Arabidopsis thaliana: one gene and its partners. The protein of the gene in region 1 interacts with the protein of each later gene in a pairwise test. Each region holds a gene or a part of one and is shown in the gene's direction. Other genes may lie near its edges. The genes, in order: GRP18, AT4G03600, AT1G47530 and AT4G26770.

Region 1 (7,494 bases):
ACACACACACGAAAAGAGAAAATATAAAGAAGGACATGTAACGTGACGTAGCGTAGATCTCCATTCACTCCAATCGTTTTGCATGGAGCATGCATGTGTGTGTACCGTGCACGTAGTAGAGACCACACAACTCCTTCATAAAAGCCCTCTCTCTCTTACCATCACCAAAACACAACAATCCGATCAGAAAATATGAGCGAAGAACTAAGTCAAAAGCCATCATCAGCTCAGTCTCTGTCACTGAGAGAGGGCAGAAATAGGTTTCCTTTTCTGTCCCTGTCACAGAGAGAGGGCAGATTTTTTCCTTCTCTATCTCTTTCAGAGAGAGATGGAAGAAAGTTTTCTTTTCTCAGTATGTTCTCTTTTCTCATGCCACTGTTGGAGGTTATTAAGATTATTATTGCTTCTGTGGCCTCCGTAATCTTCGTCGGTTTCGCCTGTGTAACCCTCGCTGGTTCTGCCGCAGCATTAGTCGTAAGCACCCCGGTTTTCATCATATTTAGTCCTGTTCTCGTACCAGCTACGATAGCCACGGTTGTCTTGGCGACAGGATTCACGGCCGGTGGCTCTTTTGGAGCGACAGCACTTGGTCTCATCATGTGGCTTGTTAAGTAAGATTATTATAACAGCTTATATTGAGATCACTCGAGATTTATGCTTAATTATATAATATTCATAAACCTATAGTTTAAAAGTATATTGAACTTCATTTGTTAACGTACTTTATAAATATTGAACTTCGTTCGTTTTCTTAATTGGTCTCTAAGTATATATACATACTTTTTTGTGTGATGCAGACGTAGGATGGGAGTAAAGCCGAAGGATAATCCACCTCCGGCAGGACTTCCACCGAATTCGGGAGCAGGAGCAGGAGGAGCTCAAAGTCTGATCAAAAAGTCAAAGGCAAAGTCTAAAGGTGGGCTTAAGGCTTGGTGTAAGAAGATGTTAAAAAGTAAATTCGGTGGTAAAAAAGGCAAGTCCGGGGGTGGAAAAAGTAAATTTGGAGGTAAAGGCGGTAAGTCCGAAGGTGAAGAAGGTATGTCGTCTGGGGATGAAGGTATGTCTGGAAGTGAAGGAGGTATGTCCGGAGGTGAAGGAGGTAAATCCAAAAGTGGAAAAGGTAAACTCAAAGCTAAACTCGAAAAGAAAAAAGGTATGTCCGGAGGGTCCGAGAGTGAAGAAGGTATGTCTGGAAGTGAAGGAGGTATGTCTGGTGGTGGAGGAAGTAAATCCAAAAGTAAAAAAAGTAAACTCAAAGCTAAATTGGGAAAGAAAAAAGGTATGTCCGGAGGCATGTCAGGAAGTGAAGAAGGTATGTCTGGAAGTGAAGGAGGTATGTCCAGTGGTGGAGGAAGTAAATCCAAAAGTAAAAAAAGTAAACTCAAAGCTAAATTGGGAAAGAAAAAAAGTATGTCCGGAGGCATGTCAGGAAGTGAAGAAGGTATGTCTGGAAGTGAAGGAGGTATGTCCGGAGGTGGAGGAGGTAAATCCAAAAGTAGAAAAAGTAAACTCAAAGCTAATTTGGGAAAGAAAAAATGTATGTCCGGAGGCATGTCAGGAAGTGAAGGAGGTATGTCTCGAAGTGAAGGAGGTATATCCGGAGGTGGTATGTCTGGGGGCAGTGGAAGTAAACACAAAATTGGAGGAGGTAAACACGGAGGTCTTGGAGGTAAATTCGGAAAGAAAAGAGGCATGTCCGGAAGTGGAGGAGGCATGTCAGGAAGTGAAGGAGGTGTGTCTGGAAGTGAAGGAAGTATGTCCGGAGGTGGTATGTCTGGGGGTAGCGGAAGTAAACACAAAATTGGAGGAGGTAAACACGGAGGTCTTAGAGGTAAATTCGGAAAGAAAAGAGGTATGTCAGGAAGTGAAGGAGGTATGTCTGGAAGTGAAGGAGGTATGTCGGAAAGTGGTATGTCCGGGAGTGGAGGGGGTAAACACAAAATCGGAGGAGGTAAACACAAATTTGGAGGAGGTAAACACGGAGGTGGAGGTGGCCACATGGCGGAGTAAAGAACAATGGTCAAGTTGTTCCAACATTAAGCAGATCATTGTGCATTAGTTCAAGATTGTATGATTGGGAAAGTAAAAGAAAGAAAAAAATATTTTCTAATAAGTTTTATGTTTATATGTAATGTTGAATCTGATTATTATGATAAAAAGACATAAATGTGATACAATGTTTATTTTAAGAACAATAATAATGTGGCAACAGTTTTAGTCCATTCTGTAGTAGAATTGCTTCTGTTATTCAATTGTACGTAAGCATAGTTTTATAGTTAAAATGAATATAAAGAGGATGTTTCCCTAGTTATTTTCTATCTTGTATTAGATTTTCTGGTTCAAAATAAAAATTCAACTAACAAAGCAGTTTGGGTTTGTTGACAACAAAAATAAGCTACAGAAGAACTTAGAGACGCATGGTATGAATATTTATTTGAGGTTTGAAGTAATTTTTTGTGACCGCAAATTAGTTGTTAAAGGTTTCTAAGAATCATGTGTTAAGTTTATATGAATAGTTTTCAATACATAGTTTCTCACGTTCCAAGACTTTTTTCTATCATATATCTCACCAATGTAAGCCTTAGGACTCGAATTTGGGGCTAATACTAAAACAGCATCCCTTTTTCTTTCATATGTGATATGTATCATAAGAGCCCTCTAATATAGTCGTGTGGTTGAGTGGTTTTGGTGAACCTTCAACAACATTTTTTCCGTCTCAAACCTTCTCTCTCTCTCCATCCAACGGAAGAATAGGTGAACGGTTCTCGGGTTTCCGGTTATTTAGTTGCATTCTTAAGCGCCCCTTAGTGTGTTGAGAAATAGCTTGGACCAAACCATTCACCAAAGATCCTCTATGTAGTTTTGTTACGCATGATTGTATTTTAACAGCCAAGTGGTAGAATCTTGTTATCACCTTTTTAAAAATGTTTCATATATCTCCCCAAAATATATATATTCCTGAAAAAAGTCGAATGTATATGCTCGGCCTTCTCATGTTTCGACAATATTTTATTTTCGAATCTAATACAAATTTATTTTACGAGATTTGAAAATTAAACAGCATATTGCAATATCATCAAGCCGAATAGAGATTTACTGCAACCATCATCCGTAAAATCAAGCAAACTAGTATTCATCAAACTTCCACAAAATCTCGCCTCCTTGAATTTCTTTCGAAGCCCCTATATTAGGTTGTTCCAACCGTAAACATGAATTGCAACACGACAATTAATGTTTGAGCTTTTTAGAAGAAAGAAAAGATGGCTCAAAAACATGACAACCTAAAAAAAAGGAAAAAAAAAACAAGAAAGCAAAGGTGACGTGACGTAAATCTCTATTTACGATCCCATCGTTTTGCATGTAGACCCCTAACAACCATCAGATAACAAAGTATGAGCCGAAGAACTCCATCAAATCAAATCTCACTCATCAAACTTTAACATTTAACTATCACAATATGTTTTCTTTTCTTATCTTCTTGTTGGAGGCTTTTCAGGTGGTTATTGCTACCGTGGTCTCCATAGTCTTCTTAGTGTTCGCGGGTCTAACACTGGTAGGTTCAGCCACGGCATTAACCATAACAACACCGCTTTTTATTATATTCAGTCCGATTCTTGTACCAGCCACGATAGCCACTGCTGTCATAACCACAGGATTCACCACGGGTGGCGCACTCGGAGCGATGGCCGTTGCTCTCATCAGGTGGTTCATTAAGTGAAATTTTGTAAAACTATAGTCATTTTTGTTTTATGAAAAACTTGTTCAATTCTCTTTTTTTTTCTCTATTCTATCTTTGATTCTTTTCACATATTCTAATTCATTTATTTTAAAGAATTAGTGTACCCTGTGTACACTTAATGGTCTTATTAATTCTTTAATGTTTTGTCTTCTAACTTCGTTGTCTATTCCATCACAACCCATGTTTACCTTTTCTTGAAACATCATTAGAAAAACTGTCAACGTGATTAATAAGAAGTGGTACAATTTTGTTTTTAATACATAAGTAACCTTTGTACGCACTTGTGAGTATATATGTAGACGTAGGATGGGAGCTAAGCCGACTGCGGAAGGAACTTCGTCAGCCCAACCTCTTCTCAAATTGCCAGTTTATGGTGGATATGGAGGATTTTGGGGAGGAAAGAAATTTTCTGGAACATTCGGAAATAAACCAGGGGGTGGAAATCCGTTTGGAGACATCTCAAAATGGCTCGGACCAGGGGCCGCAGGTGGAGGTGCACCTGGAGGATTAGGAGGGGGCGGAAATCCGTTTGGAAACATCTCAAAATGGTTCGGACCAGGGGCCGCAGGTGGAGATGCATCTGCTGCTGGTGGTGCACCTGCCGCTGAAGCTGCACCAGCCGCTGGAGCTGCGCCTGCCGCTGGAGCTGCGCCTGCCGCTGGAGCTGCGCCTGCCGCTGGAGCTGCGCCTGCTGCTGGAGCTGCTCCTGCCGCTGGTGGAAGTACACCACCCACATGGTAAAGGAAATAAGTCAAGTTGTTCCAACATGTATATTGTGCATTGATTCATAAGGAAACAAAAGCTTTTTAAAACGTCTTTTGCTCATATGTATTCTCCAAGGTCAAAGCTGCTTACACAAGACTATGCTACAATGTTCATTAATTTATAGTATAAATCATATAGCTCGATGAACAAATGGGAACGTATAATGTATAATGTACGGTCGACTCTTAGACCATGTACATTGCACATTTAGTCGGCATTGTAGTCTGTAAATCATACTATATCAATTCTTAAGGTTTTTATATACTAAGTAATTTTAAATTGAAAATTGATTTCACTATTTTCAAATTTGTTATCTATAACAAAGCAAATTGATTATTGAATATTTGAAGAGAAAAAATAATAATTGAACTGAGAATAAATTATATATTTCTAATTAAAAATTACGTTACATTTGTAACTAAATTTTCTTTCAACAGCTACATTTTAAAATATCGTATATATAGTCAATCAAATTGCTGTTTTTTTTTTCTGGTCAACGATCAACAACCCAAACTTTTGATGGTATATACTGACAAGCGAGAAGTTTATTATCTATGTAACGGTTGCATGACTAGTGACTAGTACAAACTTAGCCAATAAACTCTGTTTTCTTCTAAAACTCTGTTTTTTTAACATTTGTGCATACGATCGAAACTGCAAAGACTTATAGAAGATCAAGAATCAGTTTACATGACATAAATCATTACAATTAAATTTACCATCTACATGACAAGATCTCGTATCTTGAATCTTGATCGCTACTTAGTGTGTTGAGAAACAGTTTGAAACAAACCATTCACCAAAGATCCCCTCTGTAGTTTTATTACGCATGATTGTCTTTTGACAGCCAAGTGGAAGAATCTTGATATCACCTTTTTTCAATGTTTCATATATATCCCCCAAACTTAGAAGAGTTTTCCTGAAAAAATCGAATATGCTCGGCCTTCTCATGTTCGACGATATTTTATTTTTGTATAATTATCTAAACTCTCCCACTTGGCCAACCTCACAAGAATCTCTTACAAATTTAATTTAGGAGATTTGAAAATTAAACAGGCATATTGCAATTTCATCAAGCATGAGAGTTTCGATAAAATCAAGCAAACTAGTATTCAAAATTCCACAAAATTTTGCCTCCTTGGATTTCTTTCGAAGCACCTATTTTAGGTTGTTTCAACCGTAAACGTGAATTGCAACACGACAATTAATCTTTGAGCTTCTTACAAGAAAGAAAAGATGGTCCAAAAACATGACAACTCAAAAACAAAAACAAAAAAGCAAAGGTGACGTGACGTAAATCTCTACTTACTCCCATTGTTTTGCATGTATAGACCCCTAACAACCATTTAATAATAAAGTATGAGCCAAAGAACTCCATCAAAACAAATCTCAGTCATTGAAATTTAACATCTATCCCAAAATGTTTTCTTTTCTCATCCTCCAAGTGTCGGAGGTTTTTCAGGTGGTTATTGCTGCCGTGGTCTCTATAGTCTTCTTAGTGTTAGCGGGTCTAACACTGGCAGGTTCAGCCACGGCATTAACCATAACCACACCGCTTTTTATCATATTCAGTCCGATTCTCGTACCAGCCACGATAGCCACTGCTGTCATAACCACAGGACTCACCGCTGGTGGCGCACTCGGAACGATGGCCGCCGCTTCTCTCCTCAGGTGCTTCATTAAGTGAAATTTTTAAAAACTAAAGACTTTTGTGTTTTATAAAAAAACTTGTTTAATTCTCTTTTGTCTATCTCTGATTCTTTTGACATACTACCTCATTTATTTTTAAGAGTATCGTACACTGTACACATTAATGTTCTAGTATTAATCTTTTAATGTTTCGTCTTCTAACTTTTGAGTTGTCTATTCTATCACAACCCATGTTTACCTTTTTTTGAAACATGATATATCATTAGAACAACTGCCAACGTGATTAATAAGAAGCGTTACAATTTGATTTCAATTTATAATTAACCTTTGTACACACTTATGTAGCCTGCGACGTAGGTTCGGGCGTAGGAGATTTGGGGGACTTAGGAGATTTGGGGGAGGTAGGAGATTTGGGGGAAGATTTGGAAAACCAGGGGGTGGAGGATTAGGAGGTGGAGGTTTACCTGGAGGATTAGGAGGATTAGGAGGTGGAGGTTTACCTGGAGGACTTGGAGGATTAGGAGGAGGCGAAAATCCGTTAGCTAAAATCTCAAAAATGTTCGGACCAGGGGCTGCAGGGGCCGCAAGTGGAGATGCACCTCCCGCTGAAACTGCACCTGCCGCTGGAGCTGCACCAGCCGCTGGAGCTGAACCGGCTGCACCACCCACATGGTAAAGGAAATAAGTCAAGTTGTTCCAACATGTAGCATATATATATATACGTTTATGCTCGTATGTAATCTCAAAGCTGCTTATACTGAAATAAAGAAACACAAGACTACAATTTTATTATTTTCTAGTATAAATCATATAACGTGATGAATAACCGGGAACTTATAAACAATGTACCGAGAACAAAGAGAGTATATTGTACGGTCGATTCTTAGGGCACCTCTATTGGTGTCTCAAATATCACTCAAAACATAAATTAATAGTAAACTTTAAAGACACCATATCGTTTTGGATCTAAAATGTCTATGCAGAGACACAAACTTCTACTATTCAAAGACACTCCTTTTTTTTCTTTTCTTTTTTAAATGTATTTTAAAAACATCTCATTTTTTCAACCAATAGAGATGCTCTTAGGTTTTTTTTTGGTGGGATGAGGGGGCAATGCACCCTACAAAAATTTATTAAAATAGAAAATAAAATTACAATCGAACTCTACGAGAATATGCAGACCCTCTTGCGTCCTCAGACAAACAAAGCGACAAATCGTCTGGACAAAAATCATATAAATGCAAACCTAAAGAAAGCGGAAAAGCATAGTTGGCTAATCCATCAGCGAGGTGATTACCTTCCCTATACACATGTGAAACTCGGACTGTCCAGTCCTTCGA
Region 2 (7,072 bases), on another chromosome or scaffold:
AAGCTCACGAATTAAACGAAATGGAGGAGCTTGTAAGTGATTTTAGGGCTCAAAATGAGAAATTACTTAAGAAAGTGCAGAATTGCGCGGTAGAGCATAATAAGGAGAAGAAAGAAGATATTGATGGTCCAGGTCCAGGAGACAACAATGTGCCTCTACAGGGAAGAAACAAAGAGTTGTCTGAACAGCTACTCAAATCTATTGACGGATACCGATCTCTGAAAAGGAAATACAAAGATGTTCAAGACGAAAATGGATCAATGAGACGAGCGCTTAGAGATTATGCAGAAGGAGTGAATGTTGGGACTCAGAGACTAACCAAGTTGCATGAAAAGATCACAAGAGAAGATGAAGTGAATATTGAGAATGAGATTTCAAATTTAGAGAAGTTGTTTCAAGGGCTTGGTTTAAAGATTTTGAATCATTCCCAGAACAAGTAAAGAAACAGAGATTTTCATTACTGTATCAAAATATAGATTCTACTCATATAATTTTGGAAATTTTTGTCATTTGTATTCTTGATAGGTAACAAGAATTCTAAGATTTGTCTTTAGTAATTTGCTCATAGGTCTATTGGAAGCCGTAATCCGTCATGAGCAAGCTGTACATGGATTCCTTCCCTAGAAATCAACATAGTCTCTATTAGCATTCAACGATGTTGATTTATAGAAATCTTATAACATTGTTTCATTGCATACCTTAGAGACCATTCTGCAAGTATCTCATTGTATTCATGGTGATCAAACTCGTGTGTCATACCCGTTAAAAGCGCTCTCTTTGGACATAGCCTCTTTAAGATCTCAAGAGCCTAAAGAATAGGAATATTGAAACTTACTCTCAAAAAGGTTTAGAGAAGTGAAGCATTCTTTGGGAAGAAAAAAAAGAGAACCATTGAAACAAACCTCTGTAAAACAGATGTGTGTGGGATGTGGTCCTCTCTATTATCAAAGAGATGGTCAGCAAGAAAGGTTATCAAGATCGAAAAAGCGGTAAACAAAAGTTATGAGATGATGTGAACCTTCCACGGTATATTTGTATCCAGGATAAGAAGATCTAACTGTCCAGCCCCAGCTTTGGAAATAGCTGCTTAATCAAAGATTCATAAGAATATCAATCTTTCTCTTTAGTAGAAGTGAACTACAGAGGTATAATGATTAGGGCATAACATAATGAGCTCTTACCATACTCGGTACTCGGTGGAATCCGTGATACGTCTGATATATAAGCCACTTTACTTTTATCGCCGAAGAGGAAACCTAAAGCAATGTAGTCCTCTCCATGCATCACCTAAAGCATAACTAACATTGTTGAGTCTATAAGGTCTCATGGAAGAATTAGACTGTTTTGATTTCTCAAAAGTGAAAAGAAATTTAACCGGAAGAGGCGTGAAAGATAAGCCCGAGGCAGCGAATGGTTCGTCACAATTCTCTTCGATGTTTTTCCAGTCAAGAAGTGAAACTCGTCTAGGTACTTCTTTTACCTTCTTTTCAACCAAATAAGGAAACCTTGTAGCAATACTGCACAATTTTTTGTTGCCTTAAAAGTCTCATCAAATGCTAATTTGAAAAGCTTTAAGCCAGAGTTGAGATAGAGAACACTAATCGAAGATGGTACCTCTCCATTGTAAATTGAGATAGAAAGACGGGAAGTGGATCGGTATCAACAATAGTTGCACCACGAGGTTGAAGAGATCGAATTTCATCTAAGCCATGAACCGCATCTGCGTGCTCATGAGTTAGAATGATCTACACAAAATCATACAAGCATTAGTCAGTAAAAGTTAGATTTCATTTCAGAGAAAAAAATAGATGCAAGAGATCAAGAAGATAAGTATATAAAGGGCTTAACGGAATCGACTCGAGGAATCTTATAAAAGGTAAACCAACGAAGGACTTGCTCTCTAAAACTCTTGCCAACATCAATAAGTATGTACTTATGTCTACCATCTTCTTCCTTGCTGCAATAATCAATCAAGAGCGATGTATTGCATCTGCCAAAAAACAGAGAATCAAGATTCAAGAATGTTCACCAAACCCTAATATATCTGAAATAATTTCCCAAGAACACTAGAAATCGGATGGTTCATTTTTACCTAAAATGGATTAAAACCTAAACTCCAACACGAATATAGACAACAGTAGATGTCTCTTTTTTCAATCAAAACTCCCAACTTCAAAAGGGTCTTTACGGAAAGCAACAAGATTTGACATTTCACAAATCTCCACAGCTTCAAAGACCAAAACCCAAAGAGAAGAAACTGATGACAAGATTTACCTGTAGTTAGGGTTAAGGTGAGGAAGTAAAGAGAGGGACTGAGAACAGACATGGCAAGGAGGATCTGACGGCTGGAGTAAGCATCTGAAATCGGGAACTGCACCGGAGCAGCCTGTTCCAAGAAAGATCAGAGCCGTTCCATCATCATCAGATTGATTCTTCTCCATCTTCTCAAGATTCTGATCTTCTGGTTGGTCTAGCCAAAGCTGATTAATGCCAACGGCTATATCTTTGTTTATTGTATTAGTTGAGATTATATGCGATCCCTTACACAAACTTGTCTTTTTCACAGTATATATATTCCTTTTATTAACATAAAATATCTAAGCCATTACTTTGAGTCTTTGACACTGATATATGTAGTCATAATGATATTGACTACTAATTTTTCCAAACAAAATAGTAAAAGATTAATGACTTACCCCACAAATCCACCGGATTGTGATTTTTTTTGTTATATATCATTGTTTGACTCCTCTAAATTAGAAAAAAATCTTCTACATTTCTTTTTCTGTATAACAAAATCTTAAATTTAAATCGTTATGGTAACGAAATCTTTTCTTTTGTTTTTCCAGTTTATTGATTAAATATACTTCCACAGAATTTAAATTTACTTAATTATTAAAAACAATGCAGTCACAATCTTTCCAATTACCATTTCATTATCTCACAAATTCGACCAAATGTTTTTCATATTTCACAAAAAAAAATATATTAAAGCGCGTGTGAACCATAACCACGCGATTGCCAGCTCAAAAACAAATTCACAAAGAAGCGTACACGACACGCGCTACGACTGAGTGTAAGGATTCTCATAAACTGCTCTATTTTATTTTGCTCAGTCGCAGACAAATCTCAAAACAGATTCGATCGATAAGCAAGAACTTCCAATCTCTAATGGCAGATCAAACAGAATCTCCAAGATCGTATCATATCTTCATCACAATCATGAGTAAAAGACGGACATGGGTTTGTCTCTTCATCGCTGTCTACGCAATTCTCGTATCTTCTTCATGGAACCTCCTGAGATCAGTTCTTAACTGGTACAAGCTTCAATACACGTCATCAAATTCAGATTATTCTCCTTCAAGATTACCGGCGGTATACGCGTCGGTGGTGCTCGGTGCGATGTTTGGAGCTATGTCGATGGTGGCTGCTATGACGGTGGCGGTTCCGGCGGTGATGGTGATTTGGATATCGGTGGTGGTGTTGCTTGCCTTCTTTGGGAAATCAAGAAGAGTTTTAGTGGTTGAAGGAAGGAAGATTACGAGAGAAGTTGTCGGATTTGTGTTTAAGGTTCTTTTGAAAGAAGGCAATGTTGTTGCTGCTTTTTGTGCTGTTTTAGCTTATTTTCTGCTTATTAGAAGAGATTTTGACTCATATTAAGGTTCTTGATTTTTAGATTATTTAGGGAATTTTGATCTAGATTATCTTGAGTCACTCCCGAATGTAAATGTAAAGTTAATTTAGAAAATCAATTGTTAGTAGTAGAATGAAGAAGTTCATGATGCATTGGCTCAATTTTTTTTGTTTGTGGTTAGATAATTTTTCTTGATGACAGCATTTAGTATCTAGAATGGATCGTCCCACAACTTCTCATTTGAGATATTGAAAATCATGATTTGTTATCCGTTTGTGGGTTCATTGCCACACAATTTCAACACATGGACCAATAACCAAGTGATTTACATATCCTATTAAGTTTGTTATCAGTTTTCACTATTTAAGTTACCCGGTTATTATTTTAGTAGCTTAAAACTACATCAACTAGTTGAAGAGGCATGTTTTGCGAAGATAAGATCATATAATAATGGGTTACACAACTTCTTTCTTACTCAAATTCCTTCTTGAGGAAGGTGTAACATTCCAACATTGAAGTAGTGGATTTCACACACTGATACTTATTTTTATAAGTACCTTTCTTGATAAAAAGAATTCTAATACCTCAACTAAAAACTCTAATTTGGGGAAAAAAATTAATGTCTGCAAACCTTTTATAACAAAAAATTCTAAGAACTCTAAAATCATGAAAATGCGTGAATCTTTTTGTCTTTGGAACATATATTGTTGAACTTTTTTTTTTAACTGAGCAAAAAAAAGAATTTTTTTTTGAAAGACCAAATTGGATGACAATTATGTTAAATTTCACATGTTTCTAGGATAATAAGGTAATTTAAATACCATCGCTCGGTCTAGAGAATTACATCTTAGGATTTTGGGATTTCAGATAGAGGATTAGGGTTTAGTCGATCATCATGGTCCTCAATCAGTGTGCAAACGTGACGATGATAGAAGAAAAGTTGAGCAAGTTGATGGAAGAAATCGAATCTGTGGAAGCTGATGAGAGCGAAGATACCAGTGACGACGAAGAAACCAAAACAAACGTGCATGAGGCTAATTTTGATATGTTAATGGCGCCTGAATGGGATGTGCATAGCTTCGAAGGTTTGGAGTATTATACATCTTCAAATTCGTAACTTTCCTTCGATGAACAGTCTTATCCCGACATGGAAAAAGCTAATAAATACTATCATATCTATAAACTATATATCGTTAAGAGCAAGGTATGTAATCCAACTCTGTTTTGCGTTTGTTTGATTCCCAAGACTTGACCAATATAGAAGACTCGAAGGTATGTTCTTCTGTGCGTTGGTTTTGAAAATTATCAAACAAAAAGATTAGGTATGTCCGGTAAAGAACAGAAACTATCTTATCTCGTATTCATCCGAGTTTTTGTCATATACAATACCCGTTTTTTCTGTCAAATAATAATCTTGTTTTTAATATGTTTAACTTAATGTAACAAGTATGTCGTTACGTATGTCCCAAAATTTTCCATTTTTAATATTATTTAAATATATGAATAATTGTCTCAAATAGACCTTTAAATATCCCCAAAAAAATAGAACCAATTAGCTAGAATTCGAAAAATAAAATTTAAATTTTCAATCTTCTCGTTTCGAAGTTTTTTACTCATATTATATCAAGAATAGTTGTGGTAATTTTTTTTTTTCTAAATTACTCAAATTATTAGTTATGGTAATGTTTTTTAAACTTTAATTTTTATCTCATATTATATCTTTTACATGTTATTTTGATTATTTACAAAAAGAAGCAAAATTCAACAGAAATCTGAGTTATTTTTCAAAATGTCCCGAAAAGAAAATGAAATTAGGAGGGCACTTGGGTTAATATCACACACGTTTCCTGGGCAAAAGGTAACTAGGTGATTTAAAATCTAATTTAAATACCATCGTTATTTCCAGAGAATCTTCCGATTTCAATTTCCCAATTTGTTCGGATCAGAGAGAGTTTTAGGGTTTAGTCGATCAACATGCTTCTCAATCAATGCGCAGAGAAAACGATGATAAAAGATTCCATGGAAGCATCTTCTTCAGTGGTGGTTAGTTCGTGCCTGAAAAAGCGTAAAGCCGAGTTCGACCCGGAGGATGAGGAAGAAAGCAATGGTGAGAAAGAAGAAGGCAGTGATGGGAAAGCCAAAATTGAGGAGCCTAAGGCTAAAACAGATTATTACTTTAAGGTGCCAGAATGGGATGTGGACAGTTTCGATGGTTTAGAGTATTATTCATCTCTGGAGCCGATATTAATATATTATCCTCCGATGAATCTTACACCGAAGAACAAATAGAACAATATTGCAGCTATAAACGCCAGATCATCGAGAGTAAGGTATGTCCTAATCCTTTGAATTTTGAGCTAAATTTCTTGAAATTGTTGTGGATTAATGGATATTTTACGCGGATCCAGCGCTTAAGCCAACTGATCATTACAAAGGATTTAGACCAATGAATTTGGAGTGGGAAGCGATTAGGGGTATAAAAAACTTTCGCGAGTACAGGGAAGAGATGGTCTATGTTGTCTCCAAAAACTTAACCAAGACAAGGTTTGTTCTCTCTCTTTTACCCTTTTCTTTTTGTGGGTTTGTTTAATCTATCACGCACCTTCCATTCTAGTTTAGTAGCTTAGACTGAATCACGAAAACGAAAATCTAATTTATTCTCTAAAAAACTAAAGGTCTGGCTCTAAGAGAGGTCTCGATTGGAATTTTATCTGAGCTTGAGGATTCAATCTCGGGTGTTAACAGTAGCAATGGTTAGGTTGACAGGATTTACAAGCTTCTTTGAACTTTGAAGTAATGGTTTGGAAATTTTCAACTATTCAACGCAAGCTTGGCTTTAACATTATTATTGCTTTCTTATTGTGGTTGTAGGATTTGAATGTGGAGTTGGTTGAAGTTGTGAGAGGTTATTATCGCGGAGGACCTAAATCGAAGTCATACATTACATTCATGGTAAGGAAGAAGCCAGATGGACCTCTTGGTGAGTATCAAGCCAAGTGTATGGTCACTTTACACAGAAAGAGGCATCCCATCCTCTGTAGGCCGACTCCTACACCAAAGCCATAACTGTTTTATTGTATGGTGTTTCTCTTAACCAATCTTTGATTTTCTCAGTCTAGTAGGCTCAAACATGTTTAGAGAAACATCATATGTGCCTTTTGGCTTCGAAGCTATGTAATATGATATAGTGTTTGTCATGTCCATAGTTTTCTAGAAATATATCACAATATGAGAATAAAAGACCCATCTCAACATAATGTCTTGGTTGAGCATTCCATAACGAATTGGTATATAGGTGTTGCTCGCTTACTTTTTTTTTTTTTTTTTTGTTGTTGTTGTTGTTTTGTGAACTAGGTGAAAGACTAAGAGCATGGTGGACTTAGGGAAAGGTATTATTTTATGAAGTCATATTATAGTGTTTCTTAATGATTTAATGGA
Region 3 (9,001 bases), on another chromosome or scaffold:
AGAGAAAGGGATTATCAAGCTGCTTCATGTTCGAACAGAAGATCAAGTTGCAGATATTCTCAATAAAGCTCTGTTTCCGCATCAGTTCACTCATTTAAAATCCAAGATGAGTCTTCATAACATATTCAGCTCATCTTGAGGGGGACTATTGAGTGTATATACTCGGTTTAGATAAGTTAGATGGTTTAGACCGGTTTAGTCACTTGTATATAACAGAGCAATTGTACAGATTGATTCTTTATGATGAATGAATGAATAAACTTTCTATTCTTATCTTCATTCTCTCTGATTTGTAATAGTCCCTAACATTGCTTTTACAGCAAGACTCATGCCCTCAAAAATTCTTCAAAGGCATCAAAGATTGTATGTAAGTAAAATCCTCAAAAATGGAAAATTTGTTGGGTATCACGAATGCAAAAACAAAATTAAAAAAAAAAGATTTATGAATTAAAAAATAATAATAATCATTACAGAAATATTTTATTTACTCTAGGATACACATTGGTTAAAGATAAAGTCTTAAGTAATATATATTTAACTTCTTCTGAGGGACTTTAGTAATTGGTGATGTACTGAAGAGACAACAAACCGACCACACCATTTGTTTAGTGTGAGCTTACAAGAGTTGAACCAACTGTATTGACACATAAATTGTGTTTAGAGAGTTTTCTAAGTGGCATTATCTATTATAACTACATAGAACTCCAATTAGTTTAGGCAGAATATTTTTTAATTGAATACGACACTAGATTTATATAATAGTAACGGGCCTTAATGGATCTTATGTACAAGAAAAAACCCTTAGAATATTTGTGTATAAATACTTACATTATCTGAATGAATAAAGCAACCCTTACCAAATATTTCAAATAGTGATTGTCTGAAACAAGCATCATTCGGGGCAAAGAAGACTTACTTGCTTAGTGGAAGAAAGTCTTCATTGAAAATAACACAGCTAGTACTAGCAGAAGTGATAACATACCGAAAGGAGATGAAGAAGTTAAGAGGCAAAAGAGTCGGCCCAATGATGTGAAGACGATGGAAGATGTGACACGAGTTGCAACAAACAAAACAAAAGGCATTACGAGACTCTTTCGTTGTCGTAATTTCTCACCCCTTAAGATATTTGTTTGTTTGGTTGTGAATAGTTTATAAGTAGAATTCCGGTTTAAATCGAAGAATAATATTCGACATTTGCATATCAAGAGGGAGGACTAATTTTACTTTGATCAAACACGTATAATCCTTTATCTTATAAAGTACAAATCACCTAACAAATCATATTATGTCACATGGCTTACTTCATAGATTTGAAAAAAAAAAACAATGAAAAAATGATTAACGGGCAAGAGTAACCTTCTCAAAATAAGGCAGTTTGAGTTTTCAAAATTTATTCACACGATGCCAAGATTTATTAACACATTTTTCACAATAAAATCATGTATGATTAATCATACGCTGGATGGTAAAGAAAAAGCGTATGATTAATTGTTTTCTCAAAGGCGTCACATCTAATACATCATGTATCACAGTTTATACCTTTTCCGCATTCACTTCTACCATATCTTAAATCTTAAATATTTTCTTTGTTTTTGTGTTGTTTTTTGGGTTGAAAAATTAATTGAGACATCATTGTAAAGGTTTGGTTCTAAATTTTATCTTTATATTTCTTAGATTGTTCTCATATTATTTTATCTATGACGAATTACTAGATTATACTTATCATTCATTTTCATATTTTAGTTCCAAACTAAATGAAAATTTTGATGGTTATATTTTTATGTTTTTAATTCAAAATTACATATGTATAATGAAAATTACATTTTTGCATATTTAACGATGGAGTTTTGAAAATATCAATTCCCACCATTTCACAAGAAGAAAATCAAATTCGGAAGATCCATCTCCATTTTCTACATGAAATAAATTATTATAATATCATATATAATATTTTTGTAAAATTTCTTACATACTTCTTTCTAATCTCAAATAATGTTTTGTCCAACAAATTACATCAAATGGTTTACAAGATATATGTATCCTCTCTTAGGAAACTGACAACTAAACTAGAAATATTTTAGGAAGATATGCAAAACTACCATTTCTTACTACTCTTTTGCAACAATACACTTTTATGTTATCCATTTTAAAAAATACCACTCATCTGAACAGAATGACCAAATAACCCTTATCTAATAAAAACATGTAACTGGAACTGAAATTTTCCCACCAAATTTTTAGTGCCAAAATTTACTTTTCCCGCCAAAACAAAATTCCGCCAAACTTTTTTCCTGCCAAAAAGAAAATTTCCCGCCAAAATGTTTTTCCCGTAACAAATTTTTTCTCAACCAAAATAATCCTTTTAAAAATCCTTAGAAAGTTTTTTAAAAGCTTTGATAGTTATTAAAAACCCTTATAAATCATTTTAAAATCTTTATAAAGTCTTTAAAAACATATGTAAATACTTTAAAAATCCCTTTTAAACCTTTGTGAATCATTTTAAACCTTTTACAATAGTTTTAAAAGGATTTACAAGGATTTACAATGATTTTTAAACCTTTGTAAATCCTTTTAAAATCTTCTTAAAACTCTTATAAAGTCTTCACAATCATTTTTTAACTCTTAGAAACAAATTTGTTAGTATTTTAAAACATTTATTATTCTTTTTGAACCATTTTAAAACTCTTGTGAACCTTTACAAAAGGTTTTAAAAAAACTTACAAGAGTTTTTAAAGGATTTTAAAACTCTTGTAAATATTTTAATTTTTTTTTAAACTATTGTAAATCCTTTAAAACCCTTGTAAACCCTTGTAAACCATTTAAAAATCTTTTTAAAACTCTTGTAAACCCTTTTAATAATTTTGAACCATTTTAAACTCTTGTGAACCTTTACAAAAGGTTTTAAAAAGATTTATAAGAGTTTTTAAAGAGTTTTCTTTTAAATTCTTTAAAAATCTTTTAAAAACCCTTGTAAATATTTTAAACGCCTTAAAAATTCCTTGTAAATCTTTTAAAACACTTTTAAACCCTTTAAAAATCTTTTAAAACCCTTTAAAAATCCCTTGTAAATATTTTAAAACCCTTTTAAACCCTTTAAAGATCTTTTAAAATCCCTTGTAAATCTATTTCCAGCCAAAAAAATATTTTTGCGGGAAAAATGTTTTTGAGAAAAAAACTTTGATGGAAATTTTTTTTTCGAAATTTTTTGGTGGGAAATTTATTTTGGAATATTTTAGGCGAAAAAATATTAATATTTCATTTTGTTAACCTAAAACAATTTCGAAATATGAGTAAAATGGTCATTAAAAATTTAAAGAGGTATAAATGAAAATGGCAAATAAGAAAAGGTAGAATTGAAAAGGGGTAGTGTGGAAAGGACATTCTGAGCAATTATTCAATATTGTATGACTACTAAATTCTCATATGCAAATGTGAAATCAAATTTGTATTCAATCACTTGTTTATATAATGTCTGGTTCTTTAGATATTAGCTCACTTCAGGTAAGAAAACAAAATGTGGTAGCCTCATTACTTCATTAGTGCAAAGAAAGTGATTCTTTGGGATAAATTTGGATAATTTTGAATCAAAGCTGTAGTAGGACAATACACTTTTATAGTATTTTTTATTAAAGGGAAAACTCAACATCTAAAGGCAAGGAATATCCAACAGTTTGAACGCTAAACAATCAAGGGACAAGCAGAGCGTTTTCTAAATAAAGTTGCCGTTCTTTGAGAGCCGAGCTCGAACCGTAATCTGGCTTCATCACACACATAGTTCATCTTCCCGGTCGTCCCATCTCTGCAATCAGGAAAATGCAACCTCGATCCAAACCTCATATCACCTCTTTCCTTAATATTCTCCATAATATCTTTCACAATCACACCATCCATATCTCCTTCAGAGGCAATCGATGTAACCTTAAGCAGCTTAGGCCACCACGGTTTGATATTGTAACTAAATACTCACAAGAGTTAATCTATGTTAGTTTTCGAAACAAAAGAAATATGTGAACAAAACTAACAACCAAGGAGTGAAATCTTTTGAGTCCACATGCAATATGTGATACAACGAGGATTCATCCCTCTCAGTATAGACTAGTTATTCTGAAACATAGCTTCCTCACTACCGCAAGAATCCCATGATACAACAACTACGCTCTTACAACAATGGTTAATTTGATCACGATTCAATAATCATCTACCATGATTCACTCTCTTTTTGGTTAAAGTTCAAAGTAATATTTTCGCATTTCTTTGATATAAAACGATGTCGATTATTTGGTTCATGACTTTTTATTTCTCTTAGTTTCACAACAACTTCGCTCTCACAACAATGGTTAATTTGAGCACTAACCAATGACCAATTGACCATGCATGATTCACTCTCCTTTTGGTTAAGTTCAGACAGTGTAAAAGCTTTTCTTGTTACAAAATGCTGTCGATTTTTTGGTTCATCAATTTTATTAATTTCTTTTGCACTTTCACCAACACCTAATATTAAAAAGAAAATAAAAACAAGATCCACCAATTCAATGCGATAGGGTAAGTGACTAAATGTTCATTGCCGTTGTCACCCTTTGAACCCAATTTAGGACTCAAAGAGCCGTCTGATTATATTTAACCTTGGTCGAAGTATTTCTAACGAGCTGGTAAGTCCTCATTGGTCCATTATATTCACTGTCCACAATAATTTTAATTACTTGTACGACTCGGTTAACTCCTTCTAGGAAAAACTAAAGTGTACCTACCTAGTACATACGTACTTCTTCATATTACCACAAGTTTTTTTTTTTTTTTCTTGCATTCAACTACGTGTTTAAAGTTTCGGCCCCAAACTTCGGCCCAAAAACAAAAACCAAATAAACTATTACAAAAATCTTTGTTATCATATCACACTATCATTTCAAGTTTTCAACCAATCCATACTCTTAACAATCCCATTAAATTGAGATTTATTCATATTAAGAAATTATGCTGATAATATTTAACTACCAAATTAGGCCGATTCATACCAAAACTATAGAATATGTACTAAATAATTCCATTACCTTCGTTTAGTCATTTTTGGCGGTTTATTTCTTTTGGATAGATCTCATGTCAGACCTTTTTAGACTATTCATTATGGCACCTACCACACTAGTGTGTCTCCATCTTCTGTATTTATATACATATATCATAAGTCAGAACAAAGAGAAAGCAAAGAAGAGAAACTAAAACAGAGCTTTTTTCACATGGGAAAGGATAAGACTTTGCCGTTGCTTGACCCTCGTGAGCCACCGGAACTCACCGGAACCAAGTCGGCGTCAAAAGTATGGGCCAAAGAGTTCGGCGAAGAGTCGAAGCGGCTTTGGGAGTTAGCAGGACCAGCGATTTTCACTGCCATAAGTCAATACTCTCTTGGTGCTCTCACTCAGACTTTCTCCGGCCGTCTCGGTGAACTTGAGCTCGCCGCCGTCTCAGTTGAAAACTCTGTTATCTCCGGTCTTGCCTTCGGTGTCATGGTATGTTACGTAAACACCCTTCACACGTGTCAGGTTCTTGGTAATGGATAATGTGTTCTAATAATAGCCACAGAAATAAAAGTCAATATTTGAGGACTTTTTTTGTATTAATTAATATCAATATTCGTTAATATCAATGAAGTAGATTTTCCCATACATTTAAAATTGTTTCGTAATTGTGATTAAGTAAATCCTAACAGTGTGTTTTATATTCAAATAAAGTAGATATATTAATGTAGTTGAGTTCAGTGTTATAATATTTGTTATACAAGTAATCTCTACGAGGGTCCTTGTGTAAGCTCTCTTGAATTTTGTTGCTTGTCATTTAAGTTTCCTATGAAAAAAGCTTAGAGATCAAACAATATAAACATTTTGATGATGGAAAATGGTGGCAGTTAGGGATGGGGAGTGCATTGGAGACGTTGTGTGGACAAGCATATGGCGCGGGACAGATTAGGATGATGGGAATATATATGCAACGTTCATGGGTCATTCTCTTTACTACTGCTTTGTTTTTGCTTCCCGTCTACATTTGGGCTCCTCCTATTCTTTCCTTCTTCGGCGAGGCTCCTCACATCTCTAAAGCCGCGGGTATCATTCTTGTTATTCCTTTTTGCCAATTGGTTTTGAGTTTGGAGTCAATGTTCACGTAACAACTTCTGCGTTGTTATAATTTTCAGGGAAGTTCGCATTGTGGATGATCCCGCAACTATTTGCCTATGCAGCCAACTTCCCGATACAGAAATTCTTGCAGTCACAGAGGAAAGTTCTTGTGATGGCTTGGATCTCTGGAGTGGTTTTAGTTATACATGCAGTTTTTAGCTGGCTCTTCATTCTTTACTTTAAGTGGGGACTTGTAGGTGCAGCTATCACTCTCAATACCTCGTGGTGGTTGATTGTTATTGGTCAGCTTTTGTATATCTTAATCACCAAATCAGACGGTGCGTGGACTGGATTTTCTATGCTAGCGTTTCGGGACCTCTATGGATTTGTCAAACTTTCCTTAGCCTCTGCTCTTATGCTTTGGTACCTATCCAATTTTTTTTGGCTAGAAGATAGCTTTAGACTTACGTTAGCTGAGACTTCGCTTGTAATGAAAGGTTAGTTGTTTTTGTTTTGCAGTTTGGAGTTTTGGTACTTGATGGTTCTGGTTGTTGTTACCGGTCTCCTTCCTAACCCGTTGATACCAGTCGATGCCATCTCCATTTGGTAATCAATTTGTGCTGATCTTTGGTTAGTTTCTCACTGAAAATAGGTTTGTTTAGTAACATATTTTATGTTTTGGGGTTCACAGCATGAATATAGAAGGGTGGACTGCCATGATTTCGATCGGGTTTAACGCTGCGATTAGGTAAGTTCTCTACCTTTATGTTTCAGGAGCCACATTTGGAAAGCTAATAAAAATCTCATGAACTGGTGAACTTTGTCTCTTGGTGTGATCAGTGTGAGAGTATCGAATGAGCTGGGTGCAGGAAACGCAGCGTTAGCCAAATTCTCAGTGATAGTCGTCTCCATAACTTCAACTCTTATCGGGATAGTGTGCATGATTGTTGTCTTAGCCACAAAAGACAGCTTCCCTTATCTTTTCACTTCAAGCGAAGCTGTGGCAGCAGAAACCACGAGAATAGCCGTCTTGTTGGGCTTCACTGTCCTCTTGAACAGCCTCCAGCCCGTCTTGTCAGGGGTTGCGGTTGGAGCGGGGTGGCAGGCTCTGGTTGCATACGTGAACATTGCGTGTTATTACATTATCGGACTACCTGCTGGTCTTGTTCTTGGATTCACACTAGACCTCGGCGTTCAGGTTAGCTATTTACTAATATGACCATTTTGTATTAGCCTTGTTCTTTTTAATCTGGTGTTAAATCATTTGTATATTTTTGTAGGGAATATGGGGAGGTATGGTAGCTGGAATATGCTTGCAGACACTTATATTGATTGGAATCATCTACTTCACTAACTGGAACAAAGAGGTCTCTTACTTTGTCTTTTAGTTGCTGCTATGTTCCTCCTTTGTGTTTGGTTTGATCATTTCATTAATTAGCTTTGAATTCTAAATTATGCAGGCTGAGCAAGCGGAGAGTCGAGTTCAGAGATGGGGAGGAACGGCGCAGGAGTGATCAACAACTCCCTTAGGACGTGGACTATATCAGTTATTGATCTTTTTTTGTCAATGTTCAATGTTGAGAAAATTGTTTATCGGAGAACAACATCATCTCTTTTTGTTTTTTGATATGCTTAAAGTTAACGAGTCTCTCAGTGATTGTTAGAGGGGTACGGTTTGTTATGTGTTAGACTTATGTTAGATTCTAGGATGGTTGTTGCTAAGCCAAAGTTCTTGATTAATTTTAAGTATGAGATTTAATCTTCATAAGCTTGTTGATCCTTCGTTTTTATTTTAATGGTCAGACTTGATCCAATGTTTATGTTCATTTGAAGGCGAAGATCTTACCGTTTGTCAAACATAGCTAATTAGTGGTGGTATTAGCAACAGATCTTTAGGACTGTCGTTGATCTGTTGCAACTCAGTCACTAAAAATTAACAAATCTTATATAAACAAGAGGAATATTAAAAAGAAAAAAAGAAGATGAAAATGAATATCAAAATAGTTGTGTGACGATACAATATATTAGAGATGGACTACAACAATTCATGAATCAGGGTCACAGACTAACCGTTAAAGCAGTAAATTTGTCTGCCCATCTCATAAGTGTTTGAATTAAAATTTAGGTCAGTCGAGAGCTGTGTGCTATATACTAGATAGTCTACCCTTAATTACTATGTTTGGTTTTCGCATGGAGATTTACTATAAATACACAAACAAGTAATAGTGCTCAAATTGTGAATCAACCCATGCACTAATCCTTTTCATCAATTCGGTCACGGTTAGGATAATGGATTCCGTAATATGGTAACAAATGCATTTTCTGAAATATCAAACTAACATCATTTAATGATTATATTGTTTGATACATTTTATGATATATCAAACTCTGTAAATCAACCAATATATATACAATTACAGTCTAACTTATCTTTTTTTTTTTTAATCTGTGAATGGTTTAGATTTGCATGGATTTAAGGACATAACTAATTAATAATGGTTTAGCGTCTTGTTGTTTTCCTGTTTGGGCATGCGTGCTTCTCTTGAGTCTTTTGACCTTGTAATCTCTATTATTGGAAATTTATGAAGAAAAAAAAGAGTACTTGTCAAAAGATAATCTTATAGTTGGGTTTTACTGTAAGATATTGAAGTTTCGATGTTTTACTTATATCTGAAACGATTGATATTTGCAATAATAATAGTACGATTTTTTTTTGAAATATTATGAAAATCTACAAGAGCTCCGATTTTGTGGTAAGTCAAGATCGTAAATAAAGACAAAATTAACTCGAGTCTCATGCAATGTTGTATATGGTATACAATACATCAATAACCTATTAATTAAACTTTGTAAAGATAGTAAAAATGATTATTTTGGTTTACGCTATCGTTCCCTTT
Region 4 (9,295 bases), on another chromosome or scaffold:
CTTCACATTAGTCATGCTAACAAGTACCAAACAAATTTGAGTGAATGAATACAGAAACAGAAACATCTAAGTAACATTCTACTCTCATTGTCTTTGTTTCTAAGTGTTTGTTTCTTAAACAGCACTATTAGCAACTAACAAAAGTGTAAGTAAGCATTATAACTCTCTTTCTTTTGATATTGTCACGGTGAAGCCATCACTGGGTCAGCACGAGAGACTGGAGATGCAGCATCATCTTTTGTGTTGGCTACAATGTTCGAAGGTGAAGCTATCTTGTTCAGACTGTCTCTCTTGGACTTGCTTCCGTTCTGGTTTGAGTTCATAGACAAACGCCTCATAGGAGTTTCGTTGAGCCCTCCTCCATTGACTCGTGTTCCCACCGGTTTCTTGGCACTAACGGGTCTTGCAGGGCTTGGTTTAGACCCAAAGGCGGATTCTTGATCTGTGTGTGGCTGTTCTTGCTGCTTCTTCTGTTCCTGTTAATGAAAAGGCAAGATTATTTTAAAAGAAGTTAGTTTCAACAATCGGTTTAACACAGGATGAAACAACTTACTTTCAGCCTCCGCTTCTCATCTTCTCGTTCTTGCCTAAGCATAGTGTATTCATCTAGCATGGCGAGTAAAGGAACTCCATCGTACTCAAAGGACATACTGTTCTCCTCTTCCCATGCCCGGGTTTTAGCAATCAACGTGTCAACCATAGCTTGCACAAACAAAGTATGATATATTCTTCAGTCTCAGTTTAATTCTATGTGTAGTAATAACTAAGAGAGACTTTTGGAAGTTCTTACCAGTAATCTTGCTGACCAGAATCCGAGCTTTCTCAGCTCTCTTGAGATTCAAATGCGCACCTCGGCTTGCACTATACCTGTTCTGATCCTGTTTTTCCAGAACAAAAACCCAAAAGAATCATCAATTGAACTCTATGCTTAATAAGTAATGTGTTTATTAACATAGCCAATGTTAGCATACTCGATTGTAATCTTCGAGCCAGCTCTCTTCCTCACAAGCTGACATCCATTTCTCTACACGGTCTAAAATTTCTTTTCTACTAAAGGCTTCCTCCTTGGCCTTTGCGATCTGGCTATCCATGTCAGCCAGTAACTCAGTAGGTTCAGTATTCCCAGCATCAATCAACGACATGATCCTCTCACGAACAACCTCTGGTTTTATTTCTATGTGAGCACGAGCATATATCTCCTCAAGCTCTGATTGCTTTTTGAATGCAATTTCCTTCATTCTGCTAGATTTCAGTTGATCAAGCCTATCCACTTCCACCTCAGCCTTCAAGAGTTCACAGAAGATTTTTAAAAGCAGTACTTATCATACACATTGATTGATACATTACAAATTTACGATACCTGTTCGATAAGATCAAGTGCGAGAGCACCAGAGGCAGTCACTTCATGAACTGAAGCTGAAATGTTAGAGGTAACATGGTCAAAAAGCTCCCTTTCCTCATCAGAAGTATCCATCAGATTCCATAGATCAGTTAGCTGAGTAGCTAGTTCTTGAAGCTGCATAAAACCAAGATACATTAATGAAATCCACAAACAAGAATGGTGCAGAGAAAAGTTACAAACTTTCAGCGCAATTAATCAGAAAGGATTTCAACATATGTGCAGCCTAAACTGACCAAGCTCATGTCAGAGATCACAAAGACCATGATTTTGACTAACCTTCTTAAGTCTTTGCATTTTATCTTCTTTAAGAGTCAAGACAGTCTTAGCCAACCTTGCAAGTGTTTCATTGCTAATGCTCTTGGTTTGAACACCATTTGCCTCATCTAAGCTCGGATGAACTTCGGTGACAGTGCTTAAGAAATCTAAACGAAGGACGGCACATAGATCATGCACCGTGCTCACAAACTCGAGCACCTTCTGTAACCTATCACTCTGCTCAAACACAAAGCAGTTTTAGTTCTGGTTTGAACATAGGCCACACATAACCATATCCCAACTAATATTTTACCTTCTCTTTCTGGAGCTCTTGGAGTTTCCTCTGGAAGTCATCTAATCTCTTTAGAGACAAGTCAGTCTCATCAACCACATGAGGTCCATTGTTCAATCCGCCAGCGATCTCCTCACATATCTTCTGAATCTGTGATTGTACATCAGAAAATGCCCGGACCCTTTCCTCTTTCTGTTGCCAAAGTTGTTCAAGCGCAGGTGCTATTGCAGAAAGTTGTTCTTTGATCGTTCCTGAAGTCTTATCAGGCTGCAATGGAAACAAAGACATTGAATCACACTACACTGTAACCATCTCATCTCTTTACCACTTGTAAGACGTGAGATTACTTACAATGTCGATATAGCTTTTTTCCCCGAGAGCAGTTGTGAGATTGGAAAGTTCAACAGTGGCATCTGACAAAGTCTGAAGAAGCTCTGCACGAGATTTTGCGGCTAGCTCAACTTTCTTTTTGTAAACATTCAGACACTCTTCCTCAATCTGTAGAAGCAGTTTGTCTCGTTCTTCATCACTCTCCCCAACCTCATCCCAGATTTCCTGTAACAAGTTTGTACATTGAGTTTGTGGAACCATATATTAAAAGGATAAGTGTGTATGTTGCGAAATCTACCTGCAACTTCTGTAGTAAGGTGCCACAAGTGATTTCACCAAGAAGAGGATTTTCTGCTTCTGTCACTGCCATTCTTGTGAAGTCAAAAGGTTTCCTACAAAAGTAGAAACAACGAACATATTTAGTGAAGATCCAAACTAACTATACACTAAAAGAAACCAAAGTTGCAATCTTTTTTAGAAAACCAAATTGAATCAGAAACAACATTTTGAACTTGGGAACAAAAACACATCAAAGAACTTAGTGAAGCTAAGAATGTGAAACTAAGCTCAAGAAAAGCTCGAAAGGAACTTCAAAGAAATCAAACAGCATTGGTGATAAAACCAAAGCCAAAGCAAGAAATCAACATTGAAGAAGTAAAGAGGCAATGAGCTGAAATGAAACTAATCGAATCCAACAAGTAGAAGATGGCTTTCTTACCTTAATCGATATTGAATCCAAATGGTTTATCTTCCTCTCTTTTAGATCTGAAGCGACGAATAGTCACTGTGAGAGTAAGAGAGAGAGAGAGCATAGGAAACAGAGAAATCTCCAACTTTGGTTATGGAGGTTGGGAAATGGGAAAAGTGGGACCCATTTTACGGAACTCAATAATTAATGAGGAAAAAACAACAGCAAAAAGGTGAGAGACCCTGTCTTTTCGCGTTATTTACTGATTTGACCACTGATCTCACAGACCTCGTTGACTCCTCATGCTCATGTCTGAATAGTTAAAAGGCTTTCCTTAATGGGCTTAAATATCTGACCCAGCCCAAACAGATCAAGACAACACGTGTCACTCATTCCGGGTTTAAACATGAAGCAGCGACATGAATAGTTTATTGGTTCTCTCTTCCGATGATTTGATGAAACCTCACCGCTAAGTGCTCATCCACCACCTTCCTCCTCCTCCTTCTTCCCTCACCTTTTGAGTTTCTTTCTTCACGTTTCTTTTCATTAATTAGGGTTTCGCATTTTCAATCACCATCATCCCACCACGTTTTCGTTAATGTAAGTTCATTCTCTTTTTTCTACTTGTCATGATCCCATTTTGTTGCAATGTTCACTTATGAAATTTATCCTTTGTATGTGAATCATCACGTTTTGCTTTGATGAATCATTTAGATTTCTAGGCTTACACATTCAAATCTAAATCCTCTATTATATGCTTGTTACACAAGTAATCTCTCATCAGATATCAATGTGTGTGTTTCATTAAGACGTGTATAAGCTCGAGTTATGGTTGACATTTTGAAATTATAGATCAACCCCAAATTCATTTCCTCGGATGTATAAAGAAACCCAGATCATCATGATTAACTGAATTTCAAGAACTCAATCCAGGAACTGAGAGCATTTCCTAGGGATCTCAATGGCAATGGAGAAAGATCTCAGTCCAAATTCTCCACGGATTAGAAAGCTAAGGGATACTAGTTACCCTACTACACCAACGTCTCGAATGAATACTAATAACCAGAGAGATAACCATTATCCCAACATTCCTAATTCACCAAGGGATTACAATTATACTCCTAGCTCTCCAACAGCTCGCATTCGACACCGCAGGCGATCAAGCGAGGTATCTATACAATGTCATACTCTCTTTTCCGGTTGAATCCAAAATTTGATTGTCTTTTTCAATATTGATCAGAATTTAGCTGAGGTGAACAGAAGCAATGTAAGCAGAGTAAGCAATTTGTTACTTGGTGATAAGAACAAGTACAGATCAATGTGGATAAGGACATGCTCATCTCTCTGGATGCTCGGTGGAGTTGTGTTTATAATCTACATGGGTCATCTCTACATTTGGGCTATGGTTGTGGTTATACAGATATTCATGGCCAAAGAGCTCTTCTTTCTTCGCAGAAGAGCTCATGAAGAACGTCGCTTACCCGGTTTCTGGCTCTTGAATTGGCACTTCTTCTTCACGGCTATGTTGTTTGTCTATGGACGCATCATTCAACAGCAGCTAGTCAACACGGTTTCTTCAGATAGATTCATATACAAGCTTGTGAGTGGTCTTATCAAGTACCAGATGGTTATTTGCTACTTCTTGTACATCGCAGGTTTGTCTGTTTCTTTTTTCTTCACAAAAACAATACTCTCTTTCTTGATTTATTAACAGCTTAAGTTGGATTCAGGTCTCATATGGTTTATCCTTACATTGAAGAATAAGATGTATAAGTATCAGTTTGGGCAATACGCTTGGACACATATGATCCTTATCGTTGTCTTTACTCAATCTTCTTTCACCGTCGCCAATATTTTTGAAGGGATCTTCTGGTACAATGGACTCTTATATATATCCACTGAAGCATAATAGTTTTCCCGAGTGCTAATTTCTTTTAAATATGCAGGTTTCTTCTACCAGCAGCACTGATTGCTATGAACGATGTAGCAGCTTACTTCTTCGGTTTCTATTTCGGGAAAACTCCGCTCATCAAGTTGTCTCCAAAGAAAACATGGGAAGGTTTCATCGGAGCATCAGTTGCAACTATAATCTCTGCATTTATTGTAATAACCTTCTTCTATCATTTATTCATTCGTTCGTAACTCTTTCTTTTGGTCTCAAGACTGATAGATTATTATCTGCTTCGTACAACAGTTTGCTAATGTCTTAGGCCAGTTCCAATGGCTTACATGTCCAAGGAAGGTAACAAAAAGTGATATCTCCATCACAATATTTTGTCTCGGCCTTTACTTCATCCTTGTGTTGCATATCTTTTGCAGGATTTATCAACTGGTTGGCTTCATTGTGATCCAGGCCCTCTCTTCAGGCCAGAGTATTACCCATTTCCCTCTTGGATTACTCCATTTGTAAGCAATTAACTGTCCTCTCGTGAAAACCAGCCGATGATGTTGTCTTGTTTTGAAACTGAGCTCCGTTGTGAACTTTGCTTAACAGTCTCCATGGAAAGGGATCTCGACCCTGCCTGTCCAATGGCATGCTTTTTCTCTCGGTCTATTCGCATCCATTATGGCGCCTTTTGGTGGCTTCTTCGCAAGCGGTTTCAAAAGAGCTTTCAAGATCAAGGTTAACACATTTTTCAAACATTAAAAGGTTTTGTATCTACAGATCCAAGAACAAATATTTACTAGTTTATGTCGCTTTGACAGGATTTCGGAGACAGCATACCAGGACATGGAGGATTTACTGACAGAATGGATTGCCAAGTAAGAGTCACTAACGTCGAAAAGTGCAATATGATCTTTGCATCGTTTTAAACGAATCTTGTTGCCTAAATGCAGATGGTTATGGCGGTTTTCGCATACATCTACATCCAATCTTTCATTGTTAATCGGGACTACAGTGTCGAGATGATCCTAGACCAGGTAAGAATCATCATATAAGCCAAGAATACGGAGGCATTGTAAATAATTGATTGTATTATACCTGCAGATATCGAGGAGCCTGGGACACGAGGAGCAGAAAATGCTTTATGAAAAGCTCGGAGACATTCTTCAACATAAGTTGCAAGGGAGGTTTTAAATAGTGAGTGCAAGTTTTGTGACTCTGTTTTCAGCTTCTTTCTCTATGGTTAGTTTCTGGTTGTATCAGACCATGTAAAACCTTGATTTGTATCTGATTTAACTAATCAAACAGAGACTTGGTAATAGTGTGCGAGTAGAAGAGATGTAAAATGATATTTTCCTCGTTCAATTATAGCATGGAGATAGAGAAAACAGACACAGAAGCAGGATTTCCCCTGCAAATGCCATGTCCAGCAACTTATGGGAGATCTTGTTCATCTAATGAATAACCAAACCACAAAAGAAAACTATGACTCGAAGACTCGAGAAGATGTTAATGGAAACATAGAACCGTAACAAAATTTATGAAAACCAGCTGACTTCTTCTTAAGCATCAGACTCTTTCTTTTCTTCTTGGTTCTCTCCTCCCTGGGTAACACCAACCTCAGCTGGTCTTATAACTCGGTCATACAGCGTGTATCCAGACTGCACATATTGACACCCATCATTACTAATTGGTATTTAAGACTATACAATATGAAATAAAGAGACAAAGAATTGAGCAAGCTTTATATATTTACCTTCAAGACATGAGCAACTGTGCCTTCTGGCTTAGAAGCATCAGGGACTTGGAACACTGCGTTATGTCTGTTTGGATCAAATGGCTCGTTTATAGGATCATACTTCTCCATACCAAATTTCTTAAATACCTGCAGCGGCACACATGTTTAACCGGTCTCATCTGCATTGCTTACTTAAGGTCTTATAATTACATTTCTCGATATTTACCTCAGCAAGCTGTTTCTCAGTCATCTCCACTCCTTCTAAAAGGGTCTTTAATAGTGGAGCTGCTCCAGCAGAATCTTCTGAGGTGTCAAGCTTTGAGAAGCTTTCTTTGACAACCGAAGAAGCTCTTCCAAGATTATCCGCCACATCCAATAGGCTCTTTGCAAAATTCTGCATACATATATAGTGAATATATATATTTCAGAAAACTATTATATGAAACAAAAGCTGCAAACCAAGTTCTTAAAGACTAACCTGTACGGCATACTTTTTGGTGTTTTCAGCATCACGTCTTGTTCTGTCCATGACATTCTCCATCTCAGCATAAGTGCGAAGAACTTTGTCTTTCAACTGCTTAATCTCTTCTTCCTTCTCAGACAGTAGCTCTTCCTTCTCAGCTACGAGCTTCACCAAATCATCGGCTGACAATTCATCATCATCACTCTCAGAATCTGATTCAGAAGATGAAGATGCAGCTCCTTTAGCACCTTTCCGCTTTCTTTTTGCAGAATCTGTCACAGAATCTTTAGATTCAGAGTCAAGACCTGGTTGGTTTGCCTCAGCTGTAGGTTTCTCTTCACTTGTCTTTGAGGCCTCAGTGTGGGTCTTCTTCTCATCTGATTCAGGCGAGGTAGAGGAAGAAAAATTGAACCTTTGCAGTGCAAACGAATCCATCATAGACATCTGAGCTGGAACAAGCTGCCCCCAAAAAAAAAAGTAAAATGGGTTAAACTCAGTGAAATGATACAGAGCAAAAACCTATAGAGAATCTAAACCATTCTTCTATTGTTTATTCATATATCTGAAGATTCAAACATAAGAGATCAAGGAAACAGTATCAGAAGATAGCAATCATTTCTAGAAACTCAAATGAGGGAAAGCCTTAAACCCTAACAAAACCCTGAATTGCAATTTCGGCATGAATAGTGATTAATTTGAGTGAAAATCGAACCTTATGCGAGAAATCGTGAGCTAGGGAGTGAAACCGGCTCGAGAAAACAGGAGTCTGATTCCTCGCCGGAAGAGTGACGGCGGATAGAGATGAGCGTATGCCCGCGTTGCGGGTTACTCGCGACAAAATTCTCAAAACCAACATCTGGAGATCCACCACAGATGAACAAACAGAGATCAAGAAGATAAGAGAATCGAATCGAATCGAAATGTAATTGTTCTGAGGAAATTGTTAATTTGCAGAGGCACACAGAGTGCTTGGTGGATGGATAGTAGAATTCACAATTCTCTCTTTCGGGGTTTTTAGTAATTTACGTAAATAGCCTTACCGCTGCACGAGCGGGCTGAGGCTAAAATGATCGCTTTGATTCGGCGAGCCTGTGAGGGTATTATTGTCATTATAGCAAATGGGAGATTTTGAAAGCTAATTTGAGAAGCCTCTAGAAAGAACCAAAGGTACTTGTATATCTTTGGGACAGACGAAGTCCATTTATCTCCTGGGCCTGATTGGTACAGTCCTACCAAACAGAACAAGCAGCAGTATGTTACTGTTGCTAAGTGGTTTGGCTTTTTTAGTTTCATTCTTGTGTTTAATTAAAATTGCTGGATTAATATAGAGGTTGTGTAGATTTGACGTCATTTGGATGGGAGAATTTGGAAATTAATGTTCAACTACTTAATCTATAATTCAACAAACGATAAATGACCACTTAATTGCTAATAGCCTCTAGTTAATTCAAAACGCAAACCTATGTTATGAACCACTTGTCAATAAATTTATAAATCTTTAGTTGAGACTCAAAAAACAAAGTTACTTTATCGGAAATGTCACATTTGACGCATGAGAGACACTTTCTTGCCGTTACTTGTTATTGTCGTTGCAACAACCAAAACTATGGTTGAACTAAAAAGCCCCAAAACGTGCGACACAGTTCACCCAAAGTGCAAATAATCTTTACATTCAAGACTCTAGACTCAGTAAGCAATAAAAACAGTAAGTGATACAAGAACAGAGAGTTGAGTTTTGAGCGTGAATCCGGTAAAAAGGAAGATGCGTTACATATACATCTGAAGCTTGCAATGGTACGAATCCTTCTATTTTAAAATATTCTGTCTTTCTCTCTTTTTTAGTAGCTATAAATACGGCTCTCTGCTGCACAACTATTATTGAAACTCTCAATCATTTTCAGCTCATTACTCACCTCAACTAACTCTCTGTGGCCAAAAATAAACAGAGACATATCAGACTAAGGAGTATTTAATAAGCATCATCTAACAACAGGCCAAGGTATTAACTACACGAGCTAAATCTGTTTTAGTCAGGTTTGATAGAAGATACCTATCTTTCTCCATCTTAAATGCTTGCTCCAATTGTTCTTCCCAATTAATCGTGAGGTTCTTGTTTTGCAGAAGCAAAAAATTGAAAAAACTTGTGTAAAAAGCATGCAGCGAAACAGAGTTCTTGCGTTCTTGTTGCTAGCAGCTCAGCTCTTGGTGAAGATACCTGAAACGTGTGCAAAATTTCCCGCAC

What was found.
Region 2: the proteins of GRP18 (region 1) and AT4G03600 interact in a protein complementation assay, tested with the Arabidopsis thaliana proteins (one large-scale study listed by BioGRID).
Region 3: the proteins of GRP18 (region 1) and AT1G47530 interact in a protein complementation assay, tested with the Arabidopsis thaliana proteins (one large-scale study listed by BioGRID).
Region 4: the proteins of GRP18 (region 1) and AT4G26770 interact in a protein complementation assay, tested with the Arabidopsis thaliana proteins (one large-scale study listed by BioGRID).

What each region holds. Positions count from the first base shown.
Region 1 is NC_003076.8:2,377,194-2,384,687, reverse strand, and holds GRP18 (glycine-rich protein 18), read left to right. Parts: upstream 1-3,370; 5' UTR 3,371-3,457; coding exon 3,458-3,702; intron 3,703-4,038; coding exon 4,039-4,480; 3' UTR 4,481-4,790; downstream 4,791-7,494. Other genes in the region: GRP17 (glycine rich protein 17), read left to right, coding at 193-611, 798-2,010; GRP14 (glycine-rich protein 14), read left to right, coding at 5,925-6,175, 6,500-6,830.
Region 2 is NC_003075.7:1,600,408-1,607,479, reverse strand, and holds AT4G03600 (pyrroline-5-carboxylate reductase), read left to right. Parts: upstream 1-2,851; 5' UTR 2,852-3,171; coding exon 3,172-3,660; 3' UTR 3,661-3,842; downstream 3,843-7,072. Other genes in the region: AT4G03620 (myosin heavy chain-like protein), read left to right, coding at 1-440; AT4G03610 (Metallo-hydrolase/oxidoreductase superfamily protein), read right to left, coding at 563-620, 699-808, 903-938, 1,019-1,083, 1,182-1,287, 1,376-1,517, 1,615-1,745, 1,849-1,990 and 1 more; AT4G03590 (Cystatin/monellin superfamily protein), read left to right, coding at 4,530-4,719, 5,631-5,846, 6,043-6,182, 6,506-6,700.
Region 3 is NC_003070.9:17,446,493-17,455,493, forward strand, and holds AT1G47530 (MATE efflux family protein), read left to right. Parts: upstream 1-5,060; 5' UTR 5,061-5,231; coding exon 5,232-5,501; exon of another isoform or gene 5,502-5,795; intron 5,796-5,896; coding exon 5,897-6,092; intron 6,093-6,181; coding exon 6,182-6,527; intron 6,528-6,623; coding exon 6,624-6,710; intron 6,711-6,795; coding exon 6,796-6,852; intron 6,853-6,944; coding exon 6,945-7,302; intron 7,303-7,384; coding exon 7,385-7,471; intron 7,472-7,564; coding exon 7,565-7,618; 3' UTR 7,619-7,969; downstream 7,970-9,001.
Region 4 is NC_003075.7:13,478,652-13,487,946, forward strand, and holds AT4G26770 (Phosphatidate cytidylyltransferase family protein), read left to right. Parts: upstream 1-3,412; 5' UTR 3,413-3,567; intron 3,568-3,900; 5' UTR 3,901-3,928; coding exon 3,929-4,135; intron 4,136-4,207; coding exon 4,208-4,622; intron 4,623-4,697; coding exon 4,698-4,839; intron 4,840-4,913; coding exon 4,914-5,070; intron 5,071-5,161; coding exon 5,162-5,209; intron 5,210-5,286; coding exon 5,287-5,373; intron 5,374-5,461; coding exon 5,462-5,590; intron 5,591-5,673; coding exon 5,674-5,730; intron 5,731-5,805; coding exon 5,806-5,889; intron 5,890-5,956; coding exon 5,957-6,046; 3' UTR 6,047-6,292; downstream 6,293-9,295. Other genes in the region: MAP65-2 (microtubule-associated protein 65-2), read right to left, coding at 183-476, 554-702, 791-878, 972-1,283, 1,361-1,516, 1,679-1,894, 1,971-2,216, 2,301-2,504 and 1 more; AR192 (Co-chaperone GrpE family protein), read right to left, coding at 6,415-6,513, 6,609-6,737, 6,817-6,984, 7,069-7,512, 7,766-7,909; AT4G26790 (GDSL-like Lipase/Acylhydrolase superfamily protein), read left to right, coding at 9,208-9,295. UniProt on the Arabidopsis thaliana protein: May be involved in the synthesis of minor phospholipids and in modulation of IP3-mediated signal transduction.